Linked DNA regions of Elephas maximus indicus. The protein of the gene in region 2 interacts with the protein of the main gene of each other region in a pairwise test. Links are inferred from orthologs where the notes say so. Each region holds a gene or a part of one and is shown on either strand. Other genes may lie near its edges. The genes, in order: AEN, HOMEZ, ELOA and MAD2L1BP.

Evidence for each region.
Region 1: the proteins of HOMEZ (region 2) and AEN interact in binary tests that used the Homo sapiens proteins (3 or more experiments, as listed by UniProt). The two-hybrid records come from large-scale screens. The link is inferred for Elephas maximus indicus from reciprocal best matches to the Homo sapiens genes HOMEZ and AEN.
Region 3: the proteins of HOMEZ (region 2) and ELOA interact in binary tests that used the Homo sapiens proteins (3 or more experiments, as listed by UniProt). The two-hybrid records come from large-scale screens. The link is inferred for Elephas maximus indicus from reciprocal best matches to the Homo sapiens genes HOMEZ and ELOA.
Region 4: the proteins of HOMEZ (region 2) and MAD2L1BP interact in binary tests that used the Homo sapiens proteins (3 or more experiments, as listed by UniProt). The two-hybrid records come from large-scale screens. The link is inferred for Elephas maximus indicus from reciprocal best matches to the Homo sapiens genes HOMEZ and MAD2L1BP.

What each region holds. Positions count from the first base shown.
Region 1 is NC_064831.1:77,118,516-77,125,431, forward strand, and holds the start of AEN (apoptosis-enhancing nuclease), read right to left. Parts: upstream 3,023-6,916; 5' UTR 2,946-3,022; intron 1-2,945. UniProt on the Homo sapiens protein: Exonuclease with activity against single- and double-stranded DNA and RNA. Mediates p53-induced apoptosis.
Region 2 is NC_064828.1:34,618,177-34,625,915, forward strand, and holds the start of HOMEZ (homeobox and leucine zipper protein Homez), read right to left. Parts: upstream 3,008-7,739; 5' UTR 2,836-3,007; coding exon 2,796-2,835; exon of another isoform or gene 2,698-2,795; intron 1-2,697. UniProt on the Homo sapiens protein: May function as a transcriptional regulator.
Region 3 is NC_064821.1:64,161,196-64,168,552, reverse strand, and holds the start of ELOA (elongin-A), read right to left. Parts: upstream 3,021-7,357; 5' UTR 3,006-3,020; coding exon 2,853-3,005; intron 1-2,852. UniProt on the Homo sapiens protein: SIII, also known as elongin, is a general transcription elongation factor that increases the RNA polymerase II transcription elongation past template-encoded arresting sites.
Region 4 is NC_064819.1:108,058,208-108,065,563, reverse strand, and holds the start of MAD2L1BP (MAD2L1-binding protein), read right to left. Parts: upstream 3,013-7,356; 5' UTR 2,942-3,012; coding exon 2,896-2,941; intron 2,383-2,895; coding exon 2,120-2,382; intron 276-2,119; coding exon 1-275. UniProt on the Homo sapiens protein: May function to silence the spindle checkpoint and allow mitosis to proceed through anaphase by binding MAD2L1 after it has become dissociated from the MAD2L1-CDC20 complex.

The DNA.
Region 1 (6,916 bases), on a different chromosome or scaffold from region 2:
AATCAATGGACATGTTGCATTGGGTAAATGTGCTGCAAAAGACCTCTTTAAAGTTTTGAAAGGCAGGGATGTCACCTTGAAGACAAAGTGCACCTGACCCAAAAAAAATGCCATGGTATTTTCAATCGCATCATATGCATGTGAAAGCTGGACGATGAATAAGGAAGACCGAAGAAGAATGGATGCCTTTCAATTGTGGTGTTGGCGAAGAATACTGAATATACATGGACTGCCAAAAGAACAAACAAATCTGTCTTGCAAGAGGTACAACCAGAATGCTCCTTAGAAGCAAGGATGGCGAGACTGCGTCTTCCATACTTTGGACATGTTGTCAGAAGGGACCAGGACCTGGAGAAGGACATCGTGCTTGGCAAAGTACAGGGTCAGCGGAAAAGAAGACCCTCAATGAGGTGGACTGACACAGTGGCTGCAACAACGAGCTTAAGCATAGCAACAATTTTAAGAATGGCGCTGGACCAGGCAGTGTTTCGTTCTGCTGTGCATAGGGTCGCTATGAGTCAGAACCGACTCGACAGCACCTAACACCACCACCTCCCTTGCTGTCCAGAGATGAAAGGACACAATATATGTGCTGGGATCTGCATATTATTATCTATAGTGGGGCACAATAACCATCACTCTTTTCCCTGAGAGGCTCCCACTCTAGCAAACGGTTGGTAACCAGCTCTCCCCAGGCCAGTGCTGCCCCCCGGACTCACTACCCTCCCACCCACAGACCTCCCTCCTCCCTCACTTCCTACCCAGCTTCCCCTTCAGACATGGCTGCTGCTCTGCATCCCCCAGGCAGCCCTTCTGGAACACCCCTTTCTCCAATGCCACAGCAAGGCTCTCTGGGGTCTCCTTGACTCTGTGCCAGGTGCTGGGCACAGAATTACTATGATGGATCCTGGACTCTTAGGAGTTCAGTCTATCCACAGAAACAGAAACAGAAGCAGAAAATTAAGGGCTGAATTAAGAGTTGGTAGAAAGCCGGAGAACAGACTGGAGGGCAACAGGATCATAACTGCCTTTACAGGGAGGTCAGGACAAGACAAGAACACTAAGAATTAAAACCATTTCATGACAGTTGGAATATCCAGTTGCCCACCCACTTTTCCCACCTCAGGTTCATTGGGAAGCTGCTTTCCCGCCAATAGTGCATGCTGCTGCAAGGCAGGGGCCCTGATGACTGTTTGAAACTGAAAAAACAGGCACGTACCACAAATTACTATTTCTACAAGGTGTTGTATGAGGTGTGTGTATGTCTGGTTGGAGAAAGAGAAATTTTGAAAATTTTTCTTTGGGACATCATCATATGTCCCTTTAACTCCAGGGAGCATCTGGGGTAATATTAGTGGGGCAACTATGTCCCTCGGGACTCAGAGGGTAGGATTGTTGGAGGGGGGCAGGAAAATCCATACTACCTACCAATAAAAAATCCAAAGCAGAAAATAACTGGGTCTTGAAACGGTTAAGAGAAATGGGAAGGGGGTGGGATATGAAGTAAGATGCCAGGATTTGGTGACCGGATGGGGTTTGGATGATGTCACTGTTTGCATGAGCAGGGCTCAGACACCCGAGGCCAGGGCAAGATATGATGACCCATCCTGACTCATCCACCCTGCTTGCTTGTCCCTTCCCCAAGAAGGCTTCTTTCTCCCTTTTAAAAGTTCTCTTAATACGTAACCCACTTCTTCGCATTGGTGAGTCACATCTTAGAGCTGACAAATACAGAATCTCCACTTGCCTTAGCCCAGCAATGGGAAGAACAAAACTGACCCTTCTAATAATTGATTTGTGTTAGGGAGATAATATTTCCCTTTCCGTTCTCTGGGAGAGGGCTCTGTAGGTCTGGAGCTGAGTCTGGGACTCCAGTTGGTGGCCCTCCAGACTATGCTGGCAGGGTGTCAAAGCCAGAAATTAGGATTCCCTGAAAAAAGGCTTCTATGGTCTCATATTTCACGGGATGACGGCAACCTTTTCTATATGCCCAGACCTTGCTGCCAAATGTCACAACCAAAAGTTCTCAAGCGAAGCTGTAAAGAAGTTTCTCTCAAAAATCAAAACTGTTTCAACAAGGACAAAAACAAATCTCTTTCTCCAGCCGAACCGAGCCCTCTGGGTCTTTGGGCAGGGTCCCTCGCCCAAGAGAAAGGCCCCAGCAGCAGAGTCCCTAGAGCAAGGGCCCCAAAGGAACCAGAATACAAAAACCGCCAGTGGCTTCGGGGTTACCAACCTGCTGGCTGATCAGAAGGGCAGCTCTAGACCCTGCTCTGGCACTCAAGAGCCTAACGAACCGGGGCAAGGGACGTCCCTTCCCCATAATCGGAGGCCTTTGAACTAGGTTAAGGGCTCCCCCAACGCAGTTAATTACCGGAAACATTTAGGACGCTTGTTTCCAGGCCATTCTGAACAGCCATTCTTGGAAATGGGCCTGAGAATCTGTATTTTAAACTAGAGCTGGCGCGACCCCGGAACCTATGATTCTGAAAAGCACCCAAATTTGAGACCATCTGGCTCGATGAAGGTCCCCGTGACATTAAAAAGTTCGAGGGATTAAAAAAGTGCGAGCAGAGCTCCGCAGGATCTCCTCTGGCCGGCCTTCTCCGAGGAGCGACGCGAGGCAGGCCTGACCTCACCCAGGGAAGGACTCGCGTGTTGCCCACGGGCCGCGGCGGCCACGCCAGCCCCGCCAGGCCGCGCGTCCCGTTGCCCAGCGCTGGCCCCCTCAGCCCCGGGACCACAGGAGCAGGCCAGGGGCCGGGCAGAAGCAGGGCCGGGGCCCCGGCCTGCAACCTCGCCGGCCCAGAGAACTGGGCTGACTGAGCTTGGGCACCGCCCGCCGCAGGCCGAGGACGGACACGGCCGCACAGAGCCTCGCGGCCCGGCACCCTCCGCGCCGCCCACCCGGTGCCGGCTCCGAGTGCGTAACCCCTACAACTCACCTAACGTCCCCTACGTCTCTTCCTGCCCGCACGTGGACCCCGGACCGGCAGCTGCCACATGCCCGGGCAAGCCCGGCTCCGACTGCCTGCCGATTGGCTCGCTGAACAGCAGCGCCCGCCTAAAGCCTCTTCTGATTGGTCAAGAGCTTGCCTCTCTGGAGTGGGCGTAAGACTGCAGAAAGGGAGGAGATTCCCGAAAGGGGTGTGGCTTTGCCCCTACGCCGGCCGCGCTGGCGGGAGATTTTTAACCGCGGGAAGAGAAGCTTGGGCTCCTCCAACCTGCCGGCTCCCACCTACGTCCCCAGGGTCGGGAGCTGGACGCCTGTAAACTCTGAAAACCAGACGTTCTAGTCGATTCCGACTTCTCATAGGACAGAGTAGAACTGCCCTATACGGTTTCGTCGGCTGTAAATCTTTACGGAAGCAAACTGCACATTTCTCCTATGGAGCAGGTGGTGGGTTTGAACCATCCACCTTTCTGTTAGCAGCTGAGCCCTTAACCTTTGCACCAACAGGGATCCTATTCCCCCTCCCACCAGTGACTTACAGAGTCAGATTAGGAGTAATACACGGACCACTCCAGGTGATGTGAGGATTTCGTGAAATAATGCTTATGTTGGTAGGTGCCTTCGCATTGGTTCAAGCTGGGCTGGGCTGGGCTGGGCTGCGCTGGGCCGGGCCAAAAAAACGGGGCTCAAAATACTACCCAGTTCTGGGCCGTCTTCACAATAGTGGCTGTGCTTGAGCCCATTGTTGTAGCCGCTCTGTCAATCCATCTCATTGAGGGTCTTCCTCTTTTTCATTGACCCTCAACTTTACCAAGCATGATGTCCTCCAGGGACTGGTCCCTCCTGATAACATGTCCAAAGAATGTGAGATGAGTCTAGCCACTCTCACTTCTAAGGAGCATTCTGGCTGTATTTCTTCCAAGACAGATTTGTTCGTTCTTCTGCCAGTCCATGGTATATTCGATATTCTTCACCAACAATATAATTCAAAGGCATCAATTCTCCTTCACTCTTTCTTATTTATTTGCCCAGTTTTTGTGCACATATGAGGCAACTAAAAATTCCATGACTTGGGTCAGGCACACTTTAGTTCTCAAGGTGACATCTTTGCTTCTCAGCACTTTAGAGAGGTGTTTTGCAGCAGATTTGCCCAGTGCAATGCATCTTTTGATTTCTCGACTGCTGCTTCCATGGGCATAGATTGTGGATCCAAGTAAAATGAAATCCTTGACAACCTCAGTCTTTTCTCCATTTATCATGATGTTGCTTATTGGTCCAGTTGTGAGGATTTTTTTCTTTACGTTGAGGTGTAATCCATTCCAAAGGCTGTTGTCTTTGATCTTCATCAGGAAATGCTTAAAGTCCTCTTCACTTTCAGCAAGCAAGGTTGTGTCATCTGCATATGCAGGTTGTTAATGAGTCTTCCTCCCATTCTAATGCCACGTCTTTCTTTATACAGGCCAGCTTCTCAGATTATTTGCTCAGCATGCGGATTGAATAAGTATAATGAAAGGATACAGCCCTGACACACACCTTTCTTGATTTTAAACCACAGTATCCCCTTGTTCTGTTTGAACGACTGCCTCTTGGTCTATGTAGAGGTTCCTCACGAACACAATTAAGTGTCCCGGAATTCCCGTTCTTCATGATGTTATCCATAATTTGTTATCATCCACACAGTTGAATGTGTTTGCATAGTCAATAAAACACAGGTAAACATCTTTCTGTTATTCTCTGCTTTCAGCCAAGGTTCATTTGACATCTACAGCGATATCCCTCCTTCTACTTCCTCTTCTGAATCCAGCTTGAATTTCTGGCAGTTCCCTGTTGATGTACTGCTGCAACAGTTTTTGAATTATCTTCAGCAAAATTTTACTTCCGTGTGATATTAATGATATTGTTTGATAATTTCTGTATTCTGGTGGATCACCTTTCTTTGGAATGGGCACAAATATGGATCTCTTCCAGTTGATTGGCCAGGTAGCTGTCTTCCAAATTTCTTGGCGTAGACAATGAGCGCTTCCGGTGTTGCATCCATTTGTTGAAACATCTTGATTGGTATTCCGTCAATTCCTGGAGCCTTGTTTTTCACCAATGCCTTCAACGCAGTTTGGACTTCTTCCTTTAGTACTATTGGTTCTTGATCATATGCTACCTCCTGAAATGGTTGAATGTCAACCAATTCTTTTTTTTACAGTGACTGTGTATTCCTTCCATCTTCTTTCGATGCTTCCTGCATCATTCAGTATTTTGCCCATAGAAGCCTTCAATATTGCAACTCGAGACTTGAATGTTTCTTCTTCTTTCAGCTTGAGAAATGCCGAGCATGTTCATGGTAGATACTAGGTAAAGGTTTTTAGAAGTCAGGTTTGCTCCTTCGGCACTATTCTTTCATTTATCCTCCTGCAGTAAGTTGTTAAGTTTCTGCTTTGGGCCTCGGAGGTATTGGTGGTTCAGTGGTAGATTTCTCACCTTCCATGCGGGAGACCTGGCTTTGATTTCCAGCCAGGACACCTCATGTGACACACTAGGAAGAAAGATCTGGAGACTTAGTTCTGAAAATCATCCAGTGAAAACCCTATGGATCACAGCCGTCCAATCTGCAACAGACCATTGGGATAGTGCATGTTTTCCGACCCTTGTGCACAGGGTTGCCGTGAGTCAGTCTGGAGGCCAGCCAACAATAACACCACTTTGGGCCCAGTGCTGAAATACACAGAAGAAGCACACAATCTGGCAAGGTAACAGCCAGGTGAACAGATAATTTGATGCAACATGTATAAAAAGAGCAATGATAAGCAGTATGAATTTAGTGTGTGAGCACTAACAATAAGCCAGGCAATATGCTCATTTAATCTGCACAAGAATACAGTGTGTTATGTACTATTATTATTTCCATTTTACAGTTGAGTAAATTGACACTTAACAAATTAAAGAGAGCTCTCGGAATCAACTCGACGGCACTGGGTTTGCTTTTGGGTCTTGATCATTAGGCATTAGAGAAATCCAAATTAAAACTACAATGAGATTCCATCTTACTCCAACAAGGCTGGCATTAATCCAAAAAACACAAAATAATAAATATTGGAGAGGCTGCAGAGAGATTGGAACTCTTATACACTGCTGGTGGGAATGTAAAATGGTACAGCCACTTTGGAAATCTATCTGGCGTGTCCTTAAAAAGTTAGAAATAGAACTACCATACAACCCAGAAATCCCACTCCTCGGAATATATCCTAGAGAAATAAGAGCCTTTACAAGAACAGATATATGCACACCCATGTTTATTGCAGCACTGTTTACAATAGTAAAGAGTGGAAACAACCAAGGTGTCCATCAACGGATGAATGGATAAATAAATTATGGTATATTCACACAATGGAATACTATGCATCGATAAAGAACAGTGAGGAATCTGTGAAACATTTCATAACATGGAGGAACCTGGAAGGCATTATGCTGAGTGAAATTAGTCAGATGCAAAAGGACAAATATTGTATAAGACCACTATTATAAGATCTTGAGAAATAGTTTAAACTGAGAAGAACACATTATTTTGTGGTTACGAGAGAAGGGCGGGAGGGAGGGTGGGAGGGTTATTTTCTGATTAGATAGTAGGCAAGAACTACTTTAGGTGAAGGGAAGGACAATACTCAATACATGGAAGGTCAGCTCAACTGGACTGGACCAAAAGCAAAGAAGTTTCCGGGATGAACTGAATGCTTCGAAGGTCAGCGGAGCAAGGGCGGGGGTTTGGGGACTATGGCTTCAGGGGACATCTAAGTCAACTGGCAAAATAAATTCTATTAAGAAAACATTCTGCATCCCACTTTGAAGTGTGGCATCTGGGATCTTAAATGCTAACAAGCAGCCATCTAAGATGCATCAATTGGTCTCAACCCACCTGGATCAAAGGAGAATGAAGAACACCAAGGTCACAAGAGAATTATGAACCCAAGAGAC
Region 2 (7,739 bases):
CCACCGCCAAATCCAGGCTGAAGAGTACTTCATAATTGCAACACTTGACATCTACTTACCCTCATATAAACTGTTCCATAAGGACACAATAACACGTTAGATATGAGGAAAGGTAGTGTAAGGAATGAAGCTGTCCAGTGTGACGATGAAAACTGCCAGACAGGAACACAAGGCAGGCACAGCTACAAGCCTACAAGGAGGCATTTTGCTTTCATTCATGTTATTTATTTGATACCCTTTAGATTCTCATGGCGTCAGCTTGATATTTCAGTGTAGCATGCAGTAATGCAAATAATATATTTAGTGTATGGTATACAGCCGCAGTTTTCACTTACAGAAAGCACAAGTTGTGGAAGATTTCCTGAAACAGAAGGATGGCTTAAATCAAGGGGCAGCTATATAGCTGGTACCTCCCTAGAAGAATCTGGCTTTGAAATAGGAGGAAACTACAATCAGAGTGGCTCATGAGAACTGTCACAAGTGGGGCAGGTACCCTACAGTAATCAAAACCACAACGAACATACCACAGTGTCTTATGTTCTCATGCCTCCATTCTGGATTAGGTAGAAAAAGAAAAGACTCAAAGCTGAAGAAGGACTTCTAGGGCAGAGGTGATTGGGGCGGGGGGGCGGTCCATTCTGAGTAATTACTAAATCTGTATCCTTAATAAGGATATAATCTTTAACAAAGGATACTATGCCAAATATGTTCTACTATTACTTAAAGTCACTAATAAGAAATATGGAATCAGTATAACACCCAGAAGGAATTCCCCTCAGGCCTTCCACACCCCTGGGTGTATGGCAGAAAAGGGGCTACCTTAAGCTTGCAGTCTAGGCATTCTTCACACAGTCTGAGGAAAAAAAGGACTTTAGAACTTTAGGCTCAAGCCTAGGCTTATGGTTAAAGTAGGAGACGGTCAAAGTGGGGCAATAGACATGATCCTTCTAAGCTCCCCAAACATTTATTCCAGAAGAATTGACATGCTGCCTGAAATGTGTTTGGGTGATACAGTTTTAAGTATCTGAAAGAACTAGTGGTATTCAATTTATATGGTTCTTAACTTTTGGATCATGAATCCCTCTGAGAGAGAAAAGTTATGGACTCTTAGAAAGTTATGACTACCCTTTCACAATAAACATTCACACTTATACATTATAAATAATCTCAGGGGGTTGGTCATTGTCTGCCAGGAGCCCAAGTTAAAAACCTCTGCTTTATGGCTTCCAATTTTAAGGCAATAATGGTAATCACTTAAAGATGAACAAACATGTTGATGTGAATGAATGGAAAAAGTGGATGGAGGACTCGAGAATTTGAATAAGCCTAGAAGGGATTAGTGGTATTAGTTGGAGAGAGTGGAAGGCAGGGGTATTCAACAGGGTCAGAAGCCTGGTGACCCACTGGATTACATGAGTGATACCCATGGTGCACTGAATACTAGAGGCTAGTAGACTATACTGCAACAAAATCTGCTTCAGCCTGCTTCCTCAAGCTGCCCTGTGTGCTTAGGCTAGTTGTGATTCCACACCTGCTTATGCCAGAAGCTTTTCCTGTATTTCTATAATGTAATTAAATACCACATAAACCTGTGAAAAAAATTACTGCATTAAAAACCGTTCCTGTGAAAACTAAGTCAAATGCTGACTTAGACATGACACAACGGGGAATACATTTTTATAATTGTTGAATTGGGAGTGAGCAAGACAATTGTAAAAGATTGGGAAGGGGGAATCTTAAAACCAAAACTGGAATCACAGATGATATATTATGGGTATAGTACATAGAGGCTTTCATCTGTAAGACTGCAAATTAGAATTACCTGGGAAACTGAAGGAAAAAAAAAAAAAGCCAGGCCCCGTTTTCCCTTTTTGTGTTAGTTTGGACTGGGGTCCTGGCATTGGTAGATTTTAAAAGTTCTCAGGGTTTCAGAATCACTCTTGTAGTTTATACTAGAAAGACAACTGGGAACACCAATCAGCCGACTTAGACTTACACAAAGAAACCATCTTGGCACTATACCAAAATATTGGTGAAATGAATGTACTTTTAATTATGTTTAAGATATATAGGCGTCGTTTTTTTAAATTCCCAACTCTGTTTTGATTACTGCCATCTACCAATCCTCATCATATAACATAAAAGGGCTTCCAGTGTATGGCGAGAAGTAGGTTCACAGGATAAAAGATCTGATTTGGGCCCACATTACCAAGTAGGTCTCATCTTGAGTCTTCTTTCAGTTTAGAAGTCTCAGATGAGGACGCAACACCAGGAACCTCTGAGGACTCGAGTTCTCACTTTCCTGGCTGGTTTTCTGAGTATGGCTGGTTAGGGTGAGAAGGGGCAGTTTCTTGTTAACCCTTCATTCCCAAAGGTCACTGCTCCCCAGAAGGCCAGGTACGTGTGTTGAGGTCGCCAGGAAGTAGCCATGGGGGGGGGGGTAGGCCTGGGAAGGAAACGTTTCTCCTGTCCTCCATTTCACAAGCAGTCTAGGAGGCTCTGAACTGGGTCAGAGAACAAAAAGTTGCTACACTTGGGGCGATGAGCCCCGAAGAGCAGGCGAATCTCAATCTTCCCCTCTTCAAGGGCGTACCAACCCAGCCTCCCCCTCCTTACACACCCACTCACCCTACCCCAGATACAACAGGGAGCCGCAAAGTCCACAAGAGAAAGGAGGGAGCGCCGGCGGCTTCGAACCTAGAATTCTCCTCCTTCCAGCGCGGGGATGGGGCTCCGGAGGTCGGGGATCGTAGAGGGTCTGGGAGGGGAAGTCGAAGGAGCTGGGGATCACTCACCGCAGTCCGGCCCCGGCGGCGGCTCCCAGCCTCGCACCATGGGCCGGGGGGAAAGGGGAAGAGGGGGCAGGGGGCCTCCGGAATGAGAGTAAGGTTGCTGCCCCGCGCGGCCTCCTCCGAGCCCACCCGTGCGGAGGGCCCGGACCGGGACTGACCCCCCCCCGCCCCCGAGAGCGCGCCCGTCTAGCCCAGCCCTGCTCGAGCGAGTTGGAGGCGGGGCGGATGGGTGGGGCGCGCGCCTAGGGGCGGTGCCAGGGTGGCCCGAGTTCTGATTGGTGGACGCAGGCCGGCGGTCACCGGCGGAACGTACTGGGTCGGCTATTGGCTGTACGGGCCTTGACTGAAGTCAGCTATTGGCTCCGTGAGCCACCGGCGGCGTGGGCTATTGGGTACGTGGGCAGGGAAGCTGCCCCGCGGGGCCACCCTCATCCTATCGGTGCCGAACCGTGGAAGTACACCGGCCAATGTCCCTCCCGGAATTCCCTGGGGAGGGGCTCGAGCACTTTGCCGAAGTGTCCAGGTCGCCAACAGCTACCCCCGGCTGTTTCCTCCTGAGAAAAGCACTCTAGGAAGCCCCTTTTATCATCCATTCCCTAACCCTAGAGTCCCTGGGTTGTGCAACCGGTTAGCGCACTGAGCAGCTAACCGGAAGGTCGAAGATTTACATTTACCCAGAGTCGCCTGGGAATAAAGACCTGGGAATCTACTTCTTGATAAAAAGCTCTTGAAAACCCTGAGGAGCACAGTTCTCTGACACACATGGGGTTGCCTTGAGTCAGAGCAGACTCCAGGGCTGATAGTCTGGTCCCTAGCCCTATGTATGTGCAGTGACTTCCCCAGCCGAGGCCCAGTCGTCACCAGCAGTCAGCTCCAGCAAAGCAACCTAAAGCAAAAAGGAACTTGTTCTGGAGATGAATCTGATGTTTCGCCGCTCAGAAAGTTGAGGATCCTATGATCCCGGTGTCTCCTGCTGCTTCCCCCAGACAAGTTGGTACCAGACAGGTTCCCCGAGACAAAGTGCCTGAGGGGTTACCAGTTGGGACCTATCAGACCCTCCGACCCACTTCCCTGCCTCTGTAAAAACCGGGACCTCTGCCTCATATTTGGAGACCTTGGTTTTCATTGTCAAGAAAGGGCTGACAACGAAATGGATTTTCCCCCAGGCAGTATGCCACACGCTAGGAAGTTCTGGACCAAAAGTTTGTATATTTAGAATTGTTTATCTTCTGACTAAAATTTGGGAACAATGTATTTCCGATGTGCCTCTGTTCTTATGCTGGTCTTTGAAATAGTCTCTTCTTGCTTATTTAGGTCACTTAATAGCTTATGTAGCTACAATAGTTTAGAAAACAATTCCACGCTTTACGCTGTATTCTGCAGGCCTCACCAGCCACCCCCACCCCCACCCAAGAAAAAAAACAACCACGTAACTCCTACTTCTCATTCTTCATTGGTCCACTTTTAAGGCTGGAGCTCTTTGAGGGTTGCCTGACATCATAAACATGTCTCTCTTTCAGTGCTGACCCTATTTTCTGTTACTGGCCTTGTATTTGCCTCACCTCTCCCTCTCCCTCCTTACGCTTAATAACAATATCCAGTCTTACATACAAGTTGGATGTCCTTCCAAGTATTATCTGGCAAAACATCTTAGGGGTAAACAACAGAAGCATGTATACTCAGCTTTAGGGTTAGAAACTTTTGATCCCTCAAGGTAAGAGCCAGGTGTATACAGACCTTCTAAATCATGGCTATTACAGTCCTCCAATGGTTTTTATTTAATGAAGGAAGGGAAAAATGAAACATTTGAGGCAGCAGCAGCCCTCAGTTTCCAGTGGAGAGGTCATTCTGTTCTCATCCAAACAATTAGTAAAACTGGATTGACTGGGAAGAAGTCATGCTTGTTTGGCTGGAAAGCTGACAGGAACTGGCTGTGGGAATGAAGCGCCTGACCCTGGAGGGTTAAGTGAGTCACTCTGGGCATCACTGACTATGGGCTTGGAATTATGAAAGGTGAATAACTCAGCTCCCTTTTTTGTCTGAGAGTTAGGAGTGGGGGCAGGAACAGAATGGAAGACAGATTTAGTAGAGAGAATGCAAGGAAGGGAGAACAAACTCCCTTGCCCCAATTCTGGAGTGCAAATTGAAGCCTCCCTCTTCTACATGTGTTTCACCCTGAAGTTTTAGAAGATGGAGTGATTTAGGGTAGGAGAATAGAGAAGAGGAAGAGGTCCAAGCTGACATTATCAGAGAAGGGAAGGTCCCATCATTAGCAAGACAATTACCCTCCCAGCTCTTCCAGGGACTGCTGTAGTGCTAAGAATAGGGACTCATCTTGTTATCCTCAATATTAGAGATGTTAATCCTCCATCTTTGGTGAAAACTCTCTCCCCCTGTGGGGTAAAGAGTGTAACTTTACTCAAAGTAATTTGGTCTTTGCCCTTGTTTCTTGAGAGATATCGCTAAACTCTTGGAGTTTCCTGACTAACTGAGGTGCCTTTATTATCTGGGGAGCTTTGGTGGCATAGTGGTTAAGAGATCGGCTGGTAACCAAAAGATCCGCAGTCTGAATCCACCAGCTGCTCCCTGGAAACCCTATGGGGCAGTTCTACTCTGTTCTATAGGGTTGCTATGAGTCAGAATCCACTTGATGGGTTTGGGTTTTTTAGTTTTATTATCTGGGGCCTTGGTGGCACAGTGTTTAAAAGCTTGGTAGCTAACCTAAAGGTCGGCAGTTCAAACCCACCAGCCGCTCCTTGGAAACCCTGTGGGACAGTCTATGAGTCAGAACTGACACCATGGCAATGGGTTTGGTTTTTGGTTTATTGTGCAAATGAGTGGGGGACTGGCCAGGCCACGAAGGCCACCAGGTGGCCTTGTAGCAGGTGACCTCTCAGACAGGGAAGGGGTCATGATTCAATCAATAATGCGTATACAATGAGGCTCCAATAAAGAATATGGACATGGAAGTTCCATGGGCTTCCTGGTTAGTGAAAGACATCAGTGCATGGGGGACTGTAGCACACCCTTTGGGACATGGAAGCTCTGTTTTGGGAGCCCTCCTAGACTTTGCCTTTTGTGTCTTTTCATTTGTGTCCATTTTTTCTATAATAAAGCTATAATCATAACAGTTTCCATGAGTTCTGTGAATCATTCCAGCGAATTATCAAACCTAAGGGAGTAGTGGGGGTCAGCAAGTCAGAAGTGAAGCGGGGAGGGTTATGGGAACAATTAAGCTTATGGCTGGTGTCCTGGAGGGATAGTAGCAAAACCCCGAACTTGTAGCCAGGAGACTAGAAGTGAGAGCCTGGGTGAGACCCCCAAGCTTGCAGCTGGCATCCTCAAATGGTAGTGGAAAAACTCTGAATTTGTAGCCTACAAAGGGCAAAGTCTGGGAGGGTTCCCAAGACAGAGTTTCCATGTCCCAAAGGGCATGCTTACATTCCATATAGAACTACGGGTGTCTTGTGGAATCCCAAACTTGCTGCTGGCATCTGGTCTTAGGCCCACCTGGCAGTCTGGAGGTCTGTGGGCTTTAACTTTTGAGATCTGACCTAACTCAGGGTGCTTAAGGTCAGAGGAAGAAGTGCTGCATGGGGAGGGTGTCAGAATTGAACAGAGAAGTGAAAAGTGGGGATGTGTTATATCCTCAAAGTTGCTGTCAGGAAAAAGTGGCTATTTGGTATTATATAGTTGATTATTTATCCACTCACCTCCCTTTCTTGGCTCAGATATTAGCAAGACTGACCAGAGGCACATTTCCCTGTAGCTTAAGAAGCTGGAGTTTCAGGGCCCTCCCTTGCACAGACCTCTTTCCAAGGCACTGGAGGGGACCCAGCAATATGCTCACATGGTAATAGGTTTTTGTAAAATTTGGAAAAAAAAATTTTTTTTAGCTGCAATTGGTTAAGATAGGTGTCTCTTTCCTTTCTGGCTTTCCTTCCATCACACTTCCTCTTTTGTCAGGTGGCAGTGGAGAGGGGCCACAGGCATTTTAGGATTGGCTAAGGAATTTGAATTGAGGATATATTTAGTTTGGGTTTAGTAGGTATATTTATGTGGTTTGCAATTACTTCTGTGAGTAAATTGTCTTTGTGTAGGTATAGCTCCCAGGAATACTCTTAATGTCGTCAATTCAAAGAGTATAATACCATACAGTGAAACCTGTGAGAGCCGGAACCTGAAGGACTGCTTTGTATCTCCAGGTCTTGCAAGTTTTCTGCCTTTGACAGTGCATTCTTACTATTTTTCTATTACTCTCTATTTCGTGGAAAATATTTGAGTTTTCCTTCTCTGACAGGTTTCCACCTTACACAGGTTCCAGCTATCACAGGTTTTATTGTATAACATTAGAAAAAAAAAACCTGTTGCTGTGGAGTCAATTCCAACTCATTGTGACCCTATAGGACAGAGTAGAACTGCCCCATAGGGTTTCCTAGGAGTGGCTTGGTGGATTTGAACTGCTGATCTTTTTGGTTAGCAGCTGTAGCAGTTAACCACTACACCACTAGGGTCCCTGTATAACATTAGTCATTGCAAAGAAAATTTGAAATGCTATGACCACATATATGGAAGAAACTTGTCAGAGGTTTTCCAAAATGTGACAAAAGTTCTAAAAATATATAACTTCACCACTAACAAGATGTGAAGGTGAAATTTTTCTAACTTAGCAATTAAAAAAAAAAAAAGTAATGATCAGCCATGCAAGAGGAAAGACTGAATTACCTTCCTATACTTTCTATAGAAAACATTATATATTATCATCATGAGAAAAGCCTATTGAAAAGCATGCAGTTAAAAAAAAAAAAGTATTATGGTTTTGCCAGGCAGGTTATTTTAAAAATGTGTTATTTTTCTTGATATTGCGATATTGTCAACTTCTTAAAAATTATAATTTGGTGTTATCTTTTCTCATTCTAAAAAAGAAAAAATCCACTTTTGTGCTTG
Region 3 (7,357 bases), on a different chromosome or scaffold from region 2:
ATACTGTAGCTAAAACACCAGAGAATTTGACAAAATCAGCCACTAAAAAACACCGGCAGCAACAAAATAACAGTGCGTGCCTGTAGCGTGTAGATGAAGCCACATGAAGTGTCACTGTAATTGGGTGATAATGACAGCTCTGACCAGAGCGCATTAGAAGGCTCAAAAAGTACATCAGCATAGAGCTTTAGCCTAGTAGGTATACTGATATATGTCAGCTGGGCTTACAAAAAATGTTTTTCTTGTTATAACTACAGGAATTTTTTTATTAAAAAGTAATAAACTTCTGCTGAAACACTGCATAAAAATTTTATAGACAGTTATTTCGGTGTCACCCCCTCTGACAGTGTCACCCAGTGTGGTCTACAACCCTGGTACTCCCCTACTGACACCACTGCCTAGCTCTCCATCTGCTACCAAATAGTGTTCTTTGTAGTTTTAGCATTCAAGAAACGCCATACCGAAAACCAAAACCCATTGCCATTGAGTTGATTTTAACTCAGAGTGACCCTGTAAGACAGAGTAGAACTGCCCTATAGAGTTTCCAAGAAGTGGCTGGTTGATTCAAACTGCCAACTTTTTGGTTACCAGCCAAACGCTTAACCACTGAACCAGCGGGACCCCCAAATGTACCACAGGACAGGTAAATTTTTTAAAGTGTTAATGCCTTACTATACCAACCACGAAAATAGTCTTCAATTAAATAGGTGGAACAGAAACCAAGAGGCCTTGGTCAGCCAAATACCTTCTCCCCAAGTAAGCCTAGATCATAAATGGGCTTAAAGGTGAAAACTGAGTTACAGTTAAACACCAGTGTTTAATGCCAGAAAATCCATGAACGTAGGTGTAGAATCAACGCTTTGGCTAATAATGGTTTGAAATCAAAATCTGGTTCCAAATTCAATACTGCTATATAATCATCTTGCAATTTCAAGAACAACCTGTGCGAGCTTGTAGCATTAACAGAAGGCTGAAGGGAAGGCAGCCAGTGTGCCAGCTTGCAATTTTCCCTCTGCAGTTAAACCATTTCTGAATGCCAGCTACTATGTCCTCTGTAAAAATGATCTCTCCCAACATTCTGCCATCTTCATAATGCTCACTTCACAGTACAAAGCCAGAAGTTCAGGGTGATTTTCTACCCATGAAGACAAAGTCCAAATGCTCACAAAAATCACGTACAGTTCAAGAAGGATGGGAAACCAACAAGCGTTTTGCAAATTTGATATTTCATACACACCAACTACTAGAAAGCCTTCTTCAAAACTTAAATACTAGTGGAAACATGACTATAGATGCTACATAAGCCACTTTTTATCTGATGGAAATAAAGACCAAATGGGGGATGGTGACATAATATTGCATTGTGGTTTTAAAATCAGTCATAAACCTTACAGTGTTTAAGAAAACAAACTAGTACTCAGAAATAAGGGCCATTTATTAGATGACCACAAAGGGTAACTGTAAAAGGCAACTTGCAAATACGCCTGGCCACTAGGCACTAAAGCTGCAACAGAAAATATCACACAACACAATTAAAAGCATTTAAGTTTTCACAGGTTTAAAACTAAAATGGCTTCCTGAAAAAGTGGAAGGAGAGTTAAAAAGTGACCTGATGATGAGAAGCTGTAGGCAGCCTTTGGAAATGGAGAAAACCTCTCCTATGAGAGACTAAGAACAAGGTAAAGAGAAAAACGCCTTTTTTAAAGAGTGGCAAGTAATACCCACTGAGCACTTACTCTGAGCCTGGCACGTAATAGCTTTAGTTTAGTCCTAGGAAGCAGCGATGATGCAGGTGATAAAACAGGCTCAGCAAAGGGAACTTCCCCCCAACGTCTACGCTGCTGAACGGATTAGAACCCAAACTCCACGACTTTATCTCAACTGCCTCTCTCCACTGCTTCCTCTTTGAACAGGATTCTCGGGCTCAGAGGTTCAACTCTAGGTATGGGTACAGCCCAGTTAGAATGCTCACAAACACCTCAATGGAAAAATCCTAACACCCACCAGACGCTCCCAGAGACGAGAAGCAGGGTAAGAGGAAGGAGAGACAAACGAGCGCTACTAAATAGGTAAAAATAAAAATGCCCATCACTCTGGCCTTTTTTATCAAGGCCAGAAGGAAATCTAGCTGCAACTTCTAACGTTTTTTGTTTTTTTCTTCGCCTTCCCAATTTCAACCTAAGTTTCTATGAGTGGAGTTTTTATTTATTTTGTTGTGAAAGGGACTCACTGAGAAAGCGAAAAGGTCAGTGCTCTAACATAAAGCCGGCGAGCGATTAAAACCTTGCTTACGGACGCAGGACCCCACATACCCCGAGTCTAGACTCTCGTGCACAGGCTGTACCGTCTCCTCTGGGCACCTAAAGACACTAAGAAACCGAGGGCGTTTCGCAGGGAGAGCAAGGGAGCTAAGCACGCAGCGCAGGAACCGGGAGCAGGCAGGAGTTAACTCCGGAGCGAGCGCCCTTCCCGGCCCCCGGCGAGCCACCCCGACAGGAAACAGCTGGCTCGGGGCGCCGAGGGAGCGGCTCCGGGAGCCCGGCGGGGGCACAGCCCTGGGCACGCGGTGCCGGGCAGGAGCGCGCCCCTCGCCGTCCGGGGACCAGGAGGGAGGGACGGGGCCCGGGGCCGCCGAGCTGCGAGCCTGACACCGGGAGCCCCCGCGTGGCAAGCGGCCGATCGGCCGCGAACTTCCCGACCCGGGTCCGCGAGCCCCGCGGGCCTGGCACGGGGTCCGAGTCCCCGGCCCCGGGGGGCTGGATCGACCCTCGGAGACCCCGGCTGCGCCCGCGACCGTTACGGGGCCCGCGCCGGCCAACGCCCGCCCCGCTCCGCGCAGCCCGCCGACTCACCTTCTTGGGGTCCGGGTTCGCGGCCAGGCGCGCCTGCAGCTTCTCCACAACTTGGAGCGCCGACTCCGCCGCCATCGCTGTCACTGGCGCGGCCTCCTCGCCGGAACTGGGTCCGCGTCGCGTCCTCGGGCCGCGGCTCCGCCCTCCGTGCATCCCCGGCGGAGACGGAAGCGCGACTGGCCCCTTCCGGGGCTCGGCCGGGGGGCGGGGGGCGCGGGGCCGGCCGCAGGCTCCGCCCCCAGGTCCCGGGGGGCCGGGCGCCCGGGAGCGCGCGCCGCGAGCCGGGGGCCGCAGGGTCTGGGCACGCGGGTCGCGCGAGGGCCGCCGCTGGGCAGCCGCGCGTCTGGGCCTCGCTGCGCGGAGCCATAGGCCGGGATGACATCCGCTCGTGCAGTCCCAGACGGACTGGGGGTCCAGCGCCAAACGCTGGCCTTATAAATCCCACACCGCCACCCCCGCTGGTGGTCCTGAAGTCAATCGGCGGGAGTCAACGACGGCGACCACCCTGGGTTGAGCACCATGCGCCAGTAGTTGGACTGCCTTTAATTTCAGCTTCCACAAAACCTGATGAACCGAGTTACGTTATCCCCATTTTACAGATGGAACTGGGGATCAGAGAGAACAAATTAACTTGCATGTGGTAATGCAACGGGGAAGAGTTGAAGCCAAAAATTGAATCTAAGTTTAGGTCCGGAGCCGTGGTGGCGCAGTGGGTAAACGCTTGGCTGCTAACCAAAAGGTGGGCGGTTCAGGCGGTTGGAACGCGCTAGGCGTTCTGCGGGAGAAAGATGTGGCAGTCTGCTTCCTTAAAGATTTACAGCCTCGGGAACCCTATGGGGCAATTCTTTTCTGTCCTATAGGGTCACTGTGAGTCAGAGTGGACTAGACAGGAACGGGTTTGGTTTGGTTCAAGTCTAGATCCAGAGTGAGCCATACCTCTGAATAGGTTTCAGAATTGAAGCTGAGAAAGGAATTTGTCCTAAGTCAAACAGCTTAGCTCCATAAGGGCAATAATAGTCCATGTGTCTCATTTTACTATTATTACTACAAAAAAGAGGAACCAGTCTAAACTTAAAATGTCAGCATTAATTACAGTGAAACCCGTGAAAGCCAGAACTCGCAGAGGATGCCTTGTTTTTTTCTGGGTCTCGCAAATTTCCCACTTCTGTCAGGGTGCAGTCTTACCACTTTTCTATTACTCATTTTAGTGGAAAATATTTGAGTTTTCCTTCTTTGACAGGTTTCCAGCTTACACAGAATCCGGCTTTCCCAGGTTTTACTATGTATCTCTTTTAATTAGCCAAATCAGATTAGATCCTAGCCAGATCTCCAGAGGTGCAGTGCCGCCGGTTTGACCTCTAGCCTTAATCAGGAAATCTCAGCAGTCTCTTCTCCAGGTCCTAACTCTGGAAAATAAACTCAATATAAGTTGTTTCTTCAAACGAGCATTCATTCACTCACTCACTGTGCTGGGAAGCCCTCCCAACAGTCCCCCAGCCCTTGGCTTGGTGCCCCTCCCCAAGTTCCCTTGCAACTGGCCCTTTTCAGGTTGTAGAAAAGTTGTCAACTTATCCATCTTGCCACTGGCAGTTATTATTAAGTGCAGTGACTCACTGGTCCGATTTTGAATCTCTGCTGCCCAGGACCATGCAGCAATATAACCAGCACTGGATAAACAGTCCATACTAGATTAACAACTGTCCACTTGATGCCCCTAAGGCTCTGCATGGGCACCAAACTGGGCATTAGAAGACTTGGATCCTAGTCCCAGCCCTACCTTTCCCTGGGAGTCTCCCTCCTCTAGAAGCAAATGCCTTTCAATGATCTCTTCAGTTCCTTCCATTTTGAAAAGGTGGTGAGCAGGCAAATGCTGGAGTAATGGAATATGGGCTGGCTCTTGAAGAACTGCTGACTAACTGCCCTGGCACGTACTTGGGACACACGGAACGTTTTGTGCATGTTGCCCAGGGAGATCTCAACAACTAGGATGAAAAGAAACATGCGTGTGCACGCAGTTCCTTCCCTGGCCCACACACTGCTGGGGATCCTGGGGAGGATGCATCACCCGTCTCCCAGCTGTGTCAGCCTGAGCTGAGGTTACCTGGAAAGTACTCTTTATGCTCGAATATATGGATACTTCTCTGATGAGTGAAAAGGACTTGAAGCACTTATTGATGAAGACCAAAGAATATGGCCTTCGGTATGGATTACACCTCAACATAAAGAAAAGAAAAATCCTCACAACTGGACCAATAAGCAACATCATGATAAACGGAGAAAAGATTGAAGTTATCAAGGATTTCATTTTACTTGGATCCACAATCAACACGCACGGAAGCAGCAGTCAAGAAATCATATGATGGATTGCATTAGGCAAATCTGCTGCACAAGACCTCTTAAGTGTTAAAAAGCAAAGATGTCAGTTTGAGGACTAAGGTGCCTCTGACTTAAGCCATGGTATTTTCAATCGCCTCATATGCATGCAAAAGCTGGACAATGAATAAGGAAGACTGAAGAAGAATTGATGCCTTTGAATTATGGTGTTAGCGAAGAATACTGAATATACCATGGACCGCCAGAAGAATGAGCAAATCTGTCTTGAAAGAAGCACAGCCAGAATGCTCCTTAGAAGCAAGAAAGATGAGACGAAGACCCACGTACTTTGGACATGTTACTAGGAGGGACTTGGAGCCCTGGTGGCGCAGTGGTTAAGAGCTTGGCTGCTAACCAAAAAGGTCAGCAGTTTGAATCCACCAGCTGCTCCTTGGAAACCCTATGGGGGCAGTTCTACTCTGTCCTATAAGATCGCTATAAGTCAGAATCAACTCGACGGAAATGGGTTTTGTTTTTGGGGGGAGGGTATCAGGAGGGACCAGTCCCTGGAGAAGAACATCATGTTTGGTAAAGTAGAGGGTCAGCAAAAAAGAGGAAGATCCTCAATGAGTTGGATTGACACAGTGGCTGCAACAATGGGCTCTCACATAGCAATGATTGTGAAGATGGCATGGGACCAGGCAGCGTTTCGTTCTGTTGTACATAGGGTCCATATGAGTTGGAACAAGCTCAATGGCACCTAACACCGACAACCACTGATGAGCAGTTAATTATGTATGTGCCACTCTCCAATCACGTTAGTTTACACAGCCGCTTCGAGGGAGGAAGATGTGACAGTCTTATCCAACACCGGAATAAGTTCCTAAGGCAAAGGCTGTTTTGGGGCATCTTGGATCGGCAACATTAAGCACAGAGGTGACATTCAATGAAGGTTGGTTGAAAACAGAATTAATTATTATTAAATTGAAGGACAACCCAGAGTATCATTTGAAACCCTGAGGGGAACTCCCTAGTTCTCTTACCGGCATCACAGACCCAGGCCCCTGGGAGGTGATTAAAGGACCCGTTCTACTCTGCACAGAAGGCCTGTTTACGGTGACTTGGAGGGGGGTAATGGGTAGGAAGGCTCTCCTCTTCTGCTTTTTATATTTTTTGAGTATTTGCAGCAAATATGATCTACTTTAACAAGAACAAAGATATTTTAATTTTGGAAAAGAACAATCCCAGGCTGGCTATATAAGGGTGATTATATAGACAGATCAATGAAATTAAAAAAAAAATTAAAAAGCAAACAAATAAAAAACACAGTCAACCACCACGCCCTCAGTAGCGAAATGATCCCTTGCCTGTCATGGAATGGTCAAGTGAGATTCTGCGGGCTGGACAGAGTGCTGAGTGAGAGGTAACGGTGGAGGGCTTCCCACGTGGGACGGATCATGACCTGGGCTCTGCCACTCCTCTACCTTACCAAGGAGGCAGCATCTGAGGCTGCGTGGATGGTGGGTGTAAAGAACAGGCTGGGGCTCAGTGATAACCTAAGCTCCAATTCCCAACTCTACTATTGCTAACTGGGACTCCTGGTCAAGTTACTAAAACTCACTGAAATTGTTTCCTTCTACCTTACTGCTTTCTTGTGAGGCTTGTTAATACATTGTGTTACGTAACTAGCATATTAAAAAAACAAACAAACAAATCCGTTGATGTTGCTTCCGACTCAGAGCGACTCTATAGGACAGAGTAGAGCTGCCCCATAGGGTTTCCAAGGAAACCCTTTTGGCTAGCAGCTGAGCTCTTAACCACTGCACCACCAGGGCTCCAGCTAGCATATAGGTTTTTTTTTTTTTTAAAGCATCAATTATTAGGGAAAACTGAGTGCCTTGATAAAGAGAATATCGTCTTCTGTGTAAAGCAGGATATAAAATCCTCCATCTGGGCAGTTTTGTTCTGCACAGCTGTAGCCACTGTTCTCTTCTCCCATGGGCTCCTTTTTCTGAATTGACTACATTCATCTTTGTTTCACATCCTTCAAACATGTTCACTTGGTTATTTACTTAGGGATGGCATCTTGCTGGGCTTCACAGACTGGCTTCACCCTCTCAAATATAGTAATGCAAGTGGAGAGCGCCAGCTCCAGCGAGTGATGTCTGAGATTCAGAATCCACACCTTTCAT
Region 4 (7,356 bases), on a different chromosome or scaffold from region 2:
ATGAAAATGGCTCGGAAGAGACGGCGCAAACAAGCCGCCGTGTTCAGGCTCTGCTCCCTGCTGTCAGGGACCAGTCGGGACAAGTCGAGCTCATAGAACTCCTTGGGACTTAGAGCACTGCCCCCAAGAAGGATCAGCACTCGTGGTACTAGTGTCCGGGCAAAGAGGACCTCTAGGTGGCTGAAGACACTCTCCAGTTCTGCCAAGGCTTGCTGGCATTTCTTGCTGCTTGTCTCAGTGGCGGTCCGAGGTTTCTTCCTCACCACATCCTCTGTCTGTGAGGACAAAGTACGGTGGGAAAGAGGACAAGATAAACAAAAAAAAGAATTGCCATCGAATTGATTCTGACTCATAGCGACCCTACAGAACAGAGTAGAAATGCCCCATAAGATTTCCAAGGAGCAGCTGGTGGATTCGAACTGCTGACCTTTAGCCTAGCAGCCGAACATTTAACCGCTTTGCCACCACGGCTCCAAGAGGACAAGATAGGGAGATGTTAATGCCCCAGCTAATATCCTCGGAAGAACACTTATGGGACTGGATTTCCAGCTCAGTGAACTGCCATTACCAAAACGTTGGGTTTTATCAGAGAGCATTGTATCAAAAGGGAAAGCATATTCATTGCACAAAACCACAATTCTCCCACACTTAGAACAGCAAAGACAGTGCTCTGAAGCTGGAGGGCATCCAGAAAGAGGCAACTAAAATAGTCAAGGAGATTTGGTGGCATGGCAGAAGGTGGCAAATCTTTGCTGCACAGGGAGTGATAACAGGAATGAGGATCATGGGGTCCAATAACAATGATTCTGGAGTTGGTCTTCCATTTAAACATAGCAAACTGAGTACATGTTTATTTGTGCTCCCACCTGAAATACTACTAAAGTGAGAGAAAAGAAATTAAGAAAGATAATGAAAGAAAGAAAAAAAACTTCCAAGGGCAAAGAGAATTGGAGAATACATAACAGTGGCCAAGAGGCCACAACAAATTTTTGGAAGGTAAAAGCAGATGGATAAGTCAGAGTTCAAGAGAGCTGAATACTAAGTGCAGCCAAAGAGGACCCCGTTAGAAGCAAACCAGTTCACTCTGCAGAACCCCAGAAAGGCTCAGGAATCGGCGGTATCAGGCACCATAAACGGCAAGAGTAAACACAAGGAACTGGGTGAAAAGCTGTGCAAAGACACTTAGACTGTCTGCCAGTTTCCTCCCCGACCCAGAGAGAAGACCTTCCACCACTGATGTTTCGGGAGTCCCCCAAAGAGACCACTAAGTTCCCACCTAATCTCCTTACAAGTCCATCAGCTCACAAGGCCCAACCATACCCAAGAGTGTTCGATCAGCTTTCAATGACTTACTCTTAAGTATTCAGCAGGCACAGAATAAAAGCTTCCAACATGAAAGTCAGAAACCAAAACAAATGGGAAAAGAAATTTGGTAGGAATGAAGACACATGAAAGAACAGAGTACTACCTTCAGGTAAGAGAAGTTAATATAGTAGTGAAACAAGAACGGGACACTATTAAAAAGAAACATACAAAGATAAAGAAAGTGCTCTTAAGTATATAACTGCCCAAAAACAAAACAAAACAAAACAAAAAAACAGAGGTGTTAGAACATAAAGTCAAGGAAGTCTCCCAGAAGTAGAACAAAAAAGGAAAGAGAGGAAAATTTGGAGAGAAAAGACACTAAAAGTCAATTCAGCAAGTCTATATGTAACTAACACATGATGAGTTTCTGAAAGACAACAAGAGAAAAAGTGGGGACGGCTAGACTACCAAAGACTACAGTGGGGAGAAGATGACTGAAGCCCTGGGGCTGAAACAGGCTCCTTCCTTACAGTCGCTCAGCCTGACAAGTCCTGAAGCATTCTTAGACCCCTTTTTTGCCTGTCTACCATCTAAGAGGAAACCCTGGTGGAGTAGTGGTTAAGAGATAAGGCTGCTAACCAAAAGGCTGGCAGTTCCAATCCACCAGCTGCTCCTTGGGAGCTCTATGGGGCAGTTCTACTCTGTCCTATAGGGTCACTAGGAGTCAGAATAGACTGGATGGCAACGGGTTTGGTTTACCATCTAAGAGCCACAACATTTTTCCACCAACATTCCCCCCAAAGCATGTGCCTACCTGAGGCGGTTTTCGGTAGAAGTGCTTAAGCTGTTCATAGGGCAGAGGGAGTTGCTGGCGTTGGTACATGATATGCTTTAGAAGTTCACAAGTAAACTGGCAGCAGCCTTCCTGGCTCACAGGCCCCGGAAACACAACTGGCACCATGCAGTCTCTAGGACCAAATTGTTCCGAAGGGTTGAGAGGTCCTTGAACAGAGGTAGTCTCAAGTAGTTCTATCTGGGGGACGTGGGTCTCCTCCGCCTTGTCATACCACTCCAAATCTGGTACGTGAGCAGAAGAACAAAGAAAAATGAAAAGCTTAAAAGCCAAAGTCAGTCTTCTTCATTCTCTTAGGGCCACTATATCAGCCACTACAGCGAAGAGGGCCCCCGGACATAGGCGCAATCCCTCCGCTACCGCCAGCGTGGGCCGTAGGGGGGAGAGATTCCTGATCCTTCTCGCCTGAGGTGTGGGATGTTCGGAAGCAGTGACTGAAGCTCCGCCAAGAAAGCTGCGGGCCTACAGATCTAGGGAAGTAACTCGAAAGAAAGCGTAGTCAAGTGGGGTCCAGGACGCGGAGAGGAAGGGGCGGGGGGGGGGCGCGATCGGCCAGCAGTCAGAGCCGTGGAGGCAAGGGAGTCACTGGGGCAGAACTAGAGCGGGGCGGAACGCCAAGAAGTGGGTGACAGGGCGATGGACAGGAGAAAAGGCCAAGGGCTAAGTGACTGGAGGCAGCAGTAGTCTGTAAGAAAAGGGTCCCCAAGGCTCCTTGAGCTCCGAATCCCACGCCTTACCAGGGACTGCGTCTACAAACGGCACTTCCGGCTCCAGGGCTGCCATCACGACCTCATTCCTCTTCGCCCTGCAGTTTGAATGGGTGCCCCGCGGGGCATCATGGGAAGCCCGCGTCTCCACTTCCGGATCGGAAAGGCCGGAAGAGGGGGGTGAGGGAGGCTGGACCAGTTGGGGAATCGAACCCTGCTTTTTCTCGCTGTGTTGTGAGGATGGCTCAGGATCGGGCAGTGTGTTTCGTTCCTTTGTACATAGGGTCGCTATGAGTCGGAACCTATTCGACCGCACCTAACAACTCCCTCCCTAACACCGGACATGTCTAGCCTCCCCTCCCCGCAGGGAGCCGCTGATGTCAGCCTTCCAGAGGACACCCGCCCTGAAGTCATCTATCCACTGCCTGAATTCACTTTTCACTGTGAACCTACTTTGTGCCAGCCCCTAAAAAAAAAAAATTTTTTTTTTTTTTTAGCCCCTAGGTGCTGGAGAATTAGGCATGCACTAGACACTGGCCCTATTCTCAGGGGTTCACTGCCCTTCCATAAAATACAGTGTGATGAATTATACATTGAAGTGTACACGGGCTGTGGAAGCAAAGAACAGAGGCACCTAACCCAGATGGGGTGGGGATAGGGTGGTCCCAGAGGAAATGATGCCATAGAAGGCGTGACCCGTAGGATGGGTAAATAAGCAAGGTAAAGAGGAGGGCCTAGTGTTCCAGAAGACCTTGAAAGACCAGAGCAGCATCCTCTGTTCAAGAAATGAAAAGACCATAGATTATTGAGAGTTAAAGCTGAAATGAACAAACAGGCGCCAGATCTTGGCAGCGCCTTATAAACCCTTCAAAGAGTTGAACTTGATCTTGTTGGGGAGGGGGAGGTTTGAAGGTTTTAACTTGGGAACGACATGATTACGTTTTATAAATTTAATCTGTACACTGGCTACATTGGATGATGAGGATACTAGAGGAGGTATTGATACCAGTTGGAGATAGTGACTGCAGTTATCCAAGGGCATGGTAAAAGAGGTCTGAACTAGGGAAGTCACAGTGGGGTAGAAAGGATTGGGTGAACTCTAGAGATATTTAGTAGGTCCGGTGAACGTGCCTTGGTGGCTGATCTGAGGAGAAGGAGAAGGAGGGATAGATAGAGGCTACCAAGAATTCAGGCAGGTTTCCAGCTTCATCAACTGTGTAGCCAATAGTGCTAGTCAATAAAAGAGGAAACACTAGAGGAGGACCAGGTTGTTTGGGGATGGGTAAGGTGAAAAGATGAGTTCGCTTTTTGATAATGATGGTTGAGTCTGATGTCTCCATAGGATTGCCAATAGAGATATTCAGGAAAACCATTTGGAATAGAGAGATATATTTTGAGTTATCCCTATGGGCATAGATAAAGATCGCCCAGAGAGAGTATGTAGAATGAGGATGTGTAGAGACAGGATTCTGAAGACACGAATACTTAGGGGATGAGCAGAGAGAGAAGAACCCATAGAGGAGACTGAGAAGTGGTCAGAGAAGTATAAAAAATAGGTAAGTGTTGGACCACTGAAGCCAAGAAAAGTGTTTTGAGAAGCAGAGACCAAAGGTCAAAACATCATAAACATAGTGATTAAAATAGTGTGGTATTGACTCAGGAATAAACAAACAAATCAAAACAGAAGAGTTCAGAAACAGACCTATGTATATGTGGATCTTAGTATATATGATGAAGGTTGCTTTTCAAAGCAAATATAAAGTTATTTCCTACCACAGACCCTACATAAAGGTAAATTCCAGATGGGTTAAAGATCTGAACATAAAAACAAACCCTCAAAACTACTAGAAAAAATATTGCAGAATAATTTGTAACCTAGGAGTTGGCCTAGGCATGACCCTTAACCAAAAAAACATAAAGAAAAAGATTGCTAGGTCTGAGTTTAAAACTTATGTAAAGGCATTGTATACAAAATTAGCTGACTATGTACTAGAAAGGAGCTGTCATGGATTGAATTGTGTCCCCCCCAAAATATCCGTCAACTTGGCTGGGCCATGATTCCCAATATCATGTGATTGTCCACCATTTTGTCATGTGATGTGATTTTCCTGTGTGTTAAAAAAAAAAAAAAATCCATCTCTATGGTGGTAATGAGGTGGGACTAGTAGCAGTTATGTTAATGAGGCAGGATTCAATCTATAAGATTAGGTTGTGTTTTAAGCCAATCTCTTTTGAGATATAAAAAAGAGAAGTGAGCAGAGAGATATGGGGAACTCATACTGCACCAGGAGCATATCACGTCCTTTGGACCAGGGGTCCCTGTGCTGAGAACCTCTTTGACCAGGGGAAGATTGTTGGCAAGGACCTTCCTCCAGAGCTGACAGAGAGAAAGCCTAGCCTACTAGACTGTGAGAGAATAAATTTCTCTGTGTTAAAGCCATCCACTTGTGGTATTTCTGTTATAGCAGCACTAGATAACTAAAACAGTAGCCCTGGTGGCAAGATAGTTAAAGCGCTCAGGTTTTAACTGAGTAGTTGGCGGTTCAAACCCACCAGTGGTTCACAGGAGAAAGATATGGCAATCTGCTTCCATAAAGATTATAGCTTTGGAAGCCCTATGGGGCACTTCTCCGTCCTATAGGGTTGCTATGAGTCGAAACTGACTCGACAGCAATGGGTTTGGTTTTTAGGGGCTTTTTAAAATATGCCAGAAAAAATGTTTGCAATAGGTTAATATCCACGAAAACCAAACCAAACCCACTGCCATCGAGTCAATTCCGACTCATAGCGACCCTATAGGACAGAGTAGAACTGCCCCATAGAGCTTCCAAGGAGCGCCTGGCAGATTTCAACTGCCAACCTCTTTGTTAGCAGCCGTAGCACTTAACCAGTACGCCACCAGGGTTTCCTAATATCCATGTGTATATATATATATCCATGTATATATATATATCCCACAGCCATAGGTATCTCGTAAACAATACCTTGAGAAAACTAAACGTATATACTATTCTCCATTTCCCAGTACCCCGATCTACTGCACAGACATCCCTGTTCAGCCTACTCCTCTGCCAGCCTTCATTCCTGTCTGTGGTAGGTCCAACTGTTCAAGAATAGGATATCAGAATGGGCTATCCCCTCCGATCTCTTAAAAGAAGGTCTCTACTTAGAAGGCAAGGAATTTGAGACAGAAGAGGTTAAACTGTGTGTCTTGGGTTGGTTAAAAGATCCATGTAGATGAGAGGACAAGTGTTTTATCAGGCAAGTGCAGCAGCCTGTGGTTATCAGGAGGGCCCAGATGGAGGTGGTGAAATTATTGAGGGAATGGTCTTAGCTCTTGCTTCAAACCCCACCCTTCTTGAGATCTCTGAGTTCTCCTGTCTCAGTCTCTAAGCAGCAGTGTCCCTGGTGGGGCTGTGCCCCGGATAGGGTTGACTTCTGCAGCATAGCTCTTCCTTCAGCTGCGCGGGGTTGAGAAGAGAGAAGACACTTGATGTGCTTTTAACCGCTCAAGACCCACATAACTGGCTGATTTGGGCCAACTTTGCAGATTTGGGCCGATCTCACTCTTTGGGGTATTTACGCCATGTGGATTGCAACTACATGATCAACAACCTGTCTCTCTCTTTGTGGCCCTGGGCAGAGCCATGGAATCCACCAAGTCTGAACCCTTGATGGGATCACCAGAGGTAAGCCACATTTGCTGCTTCCAGTTTTCCAAAGGAAAGCTGAGGTCTGGAGGGAAGGGTTTTATTTTTTGGCTGTGTTTGAGCACCTCACCGTTTGTGAAGAGAGGGGAGGTGGACATTCGGTGAGTAGTGAGTCGTGAGACAGCCATGGGGCTGGAAATTGAACCCTGACGTCCTGACTCCCAGTCCAGCAAAACTAACTGGTTCTCAACCGTGCCTTTCTGATGATGTCTTGTGCACTAGTTTATGTCATTGAATGTGTTTACTCTTTGCCGACTGCTAGTGGCCTAAAGAATAGGAGAGGAAGAGATGGCTTTGCAAGAAAGTCAAAAGTCACCAATCTGCGGTGGCCTTTGGCCAAGTTTCTATTTACACTCACCTCCTCCTCCTCAACCGAATTGCTGTTACTGGAACCCCAGCCCCGCCCCAAGTAAAGGCCAAGCCCCGCCTACAGCCCCGGCTCTTTTAAAATCGACGTCGGTTCTCCCCGATTGGTTCGGCTTCAAAACAAAGGGGAGGAGGGTATTCGCTAAGGGTATCCTTGTAGCCCTCAGGCATCACTGCGGTTTATGGGTTAGGGCTTCGTGTTGGGGCCACCGCGGTGCCTTGGGCTGCTGAAACCAGCCCCCGGACTGTGCCGGCTCTAGTAATAAAGCAGTGACTACTGTGTAAAGGTGGCAATAATCATCGCAACAATAACAGCTGTAATTAGGCTAACCATCATCAGCCCCCACCCTGGCGTTCGCCCCGACTCACCCTGATGGCACGCCAACCATCAGGGAAGAAACTGAGGCAGAGGTGG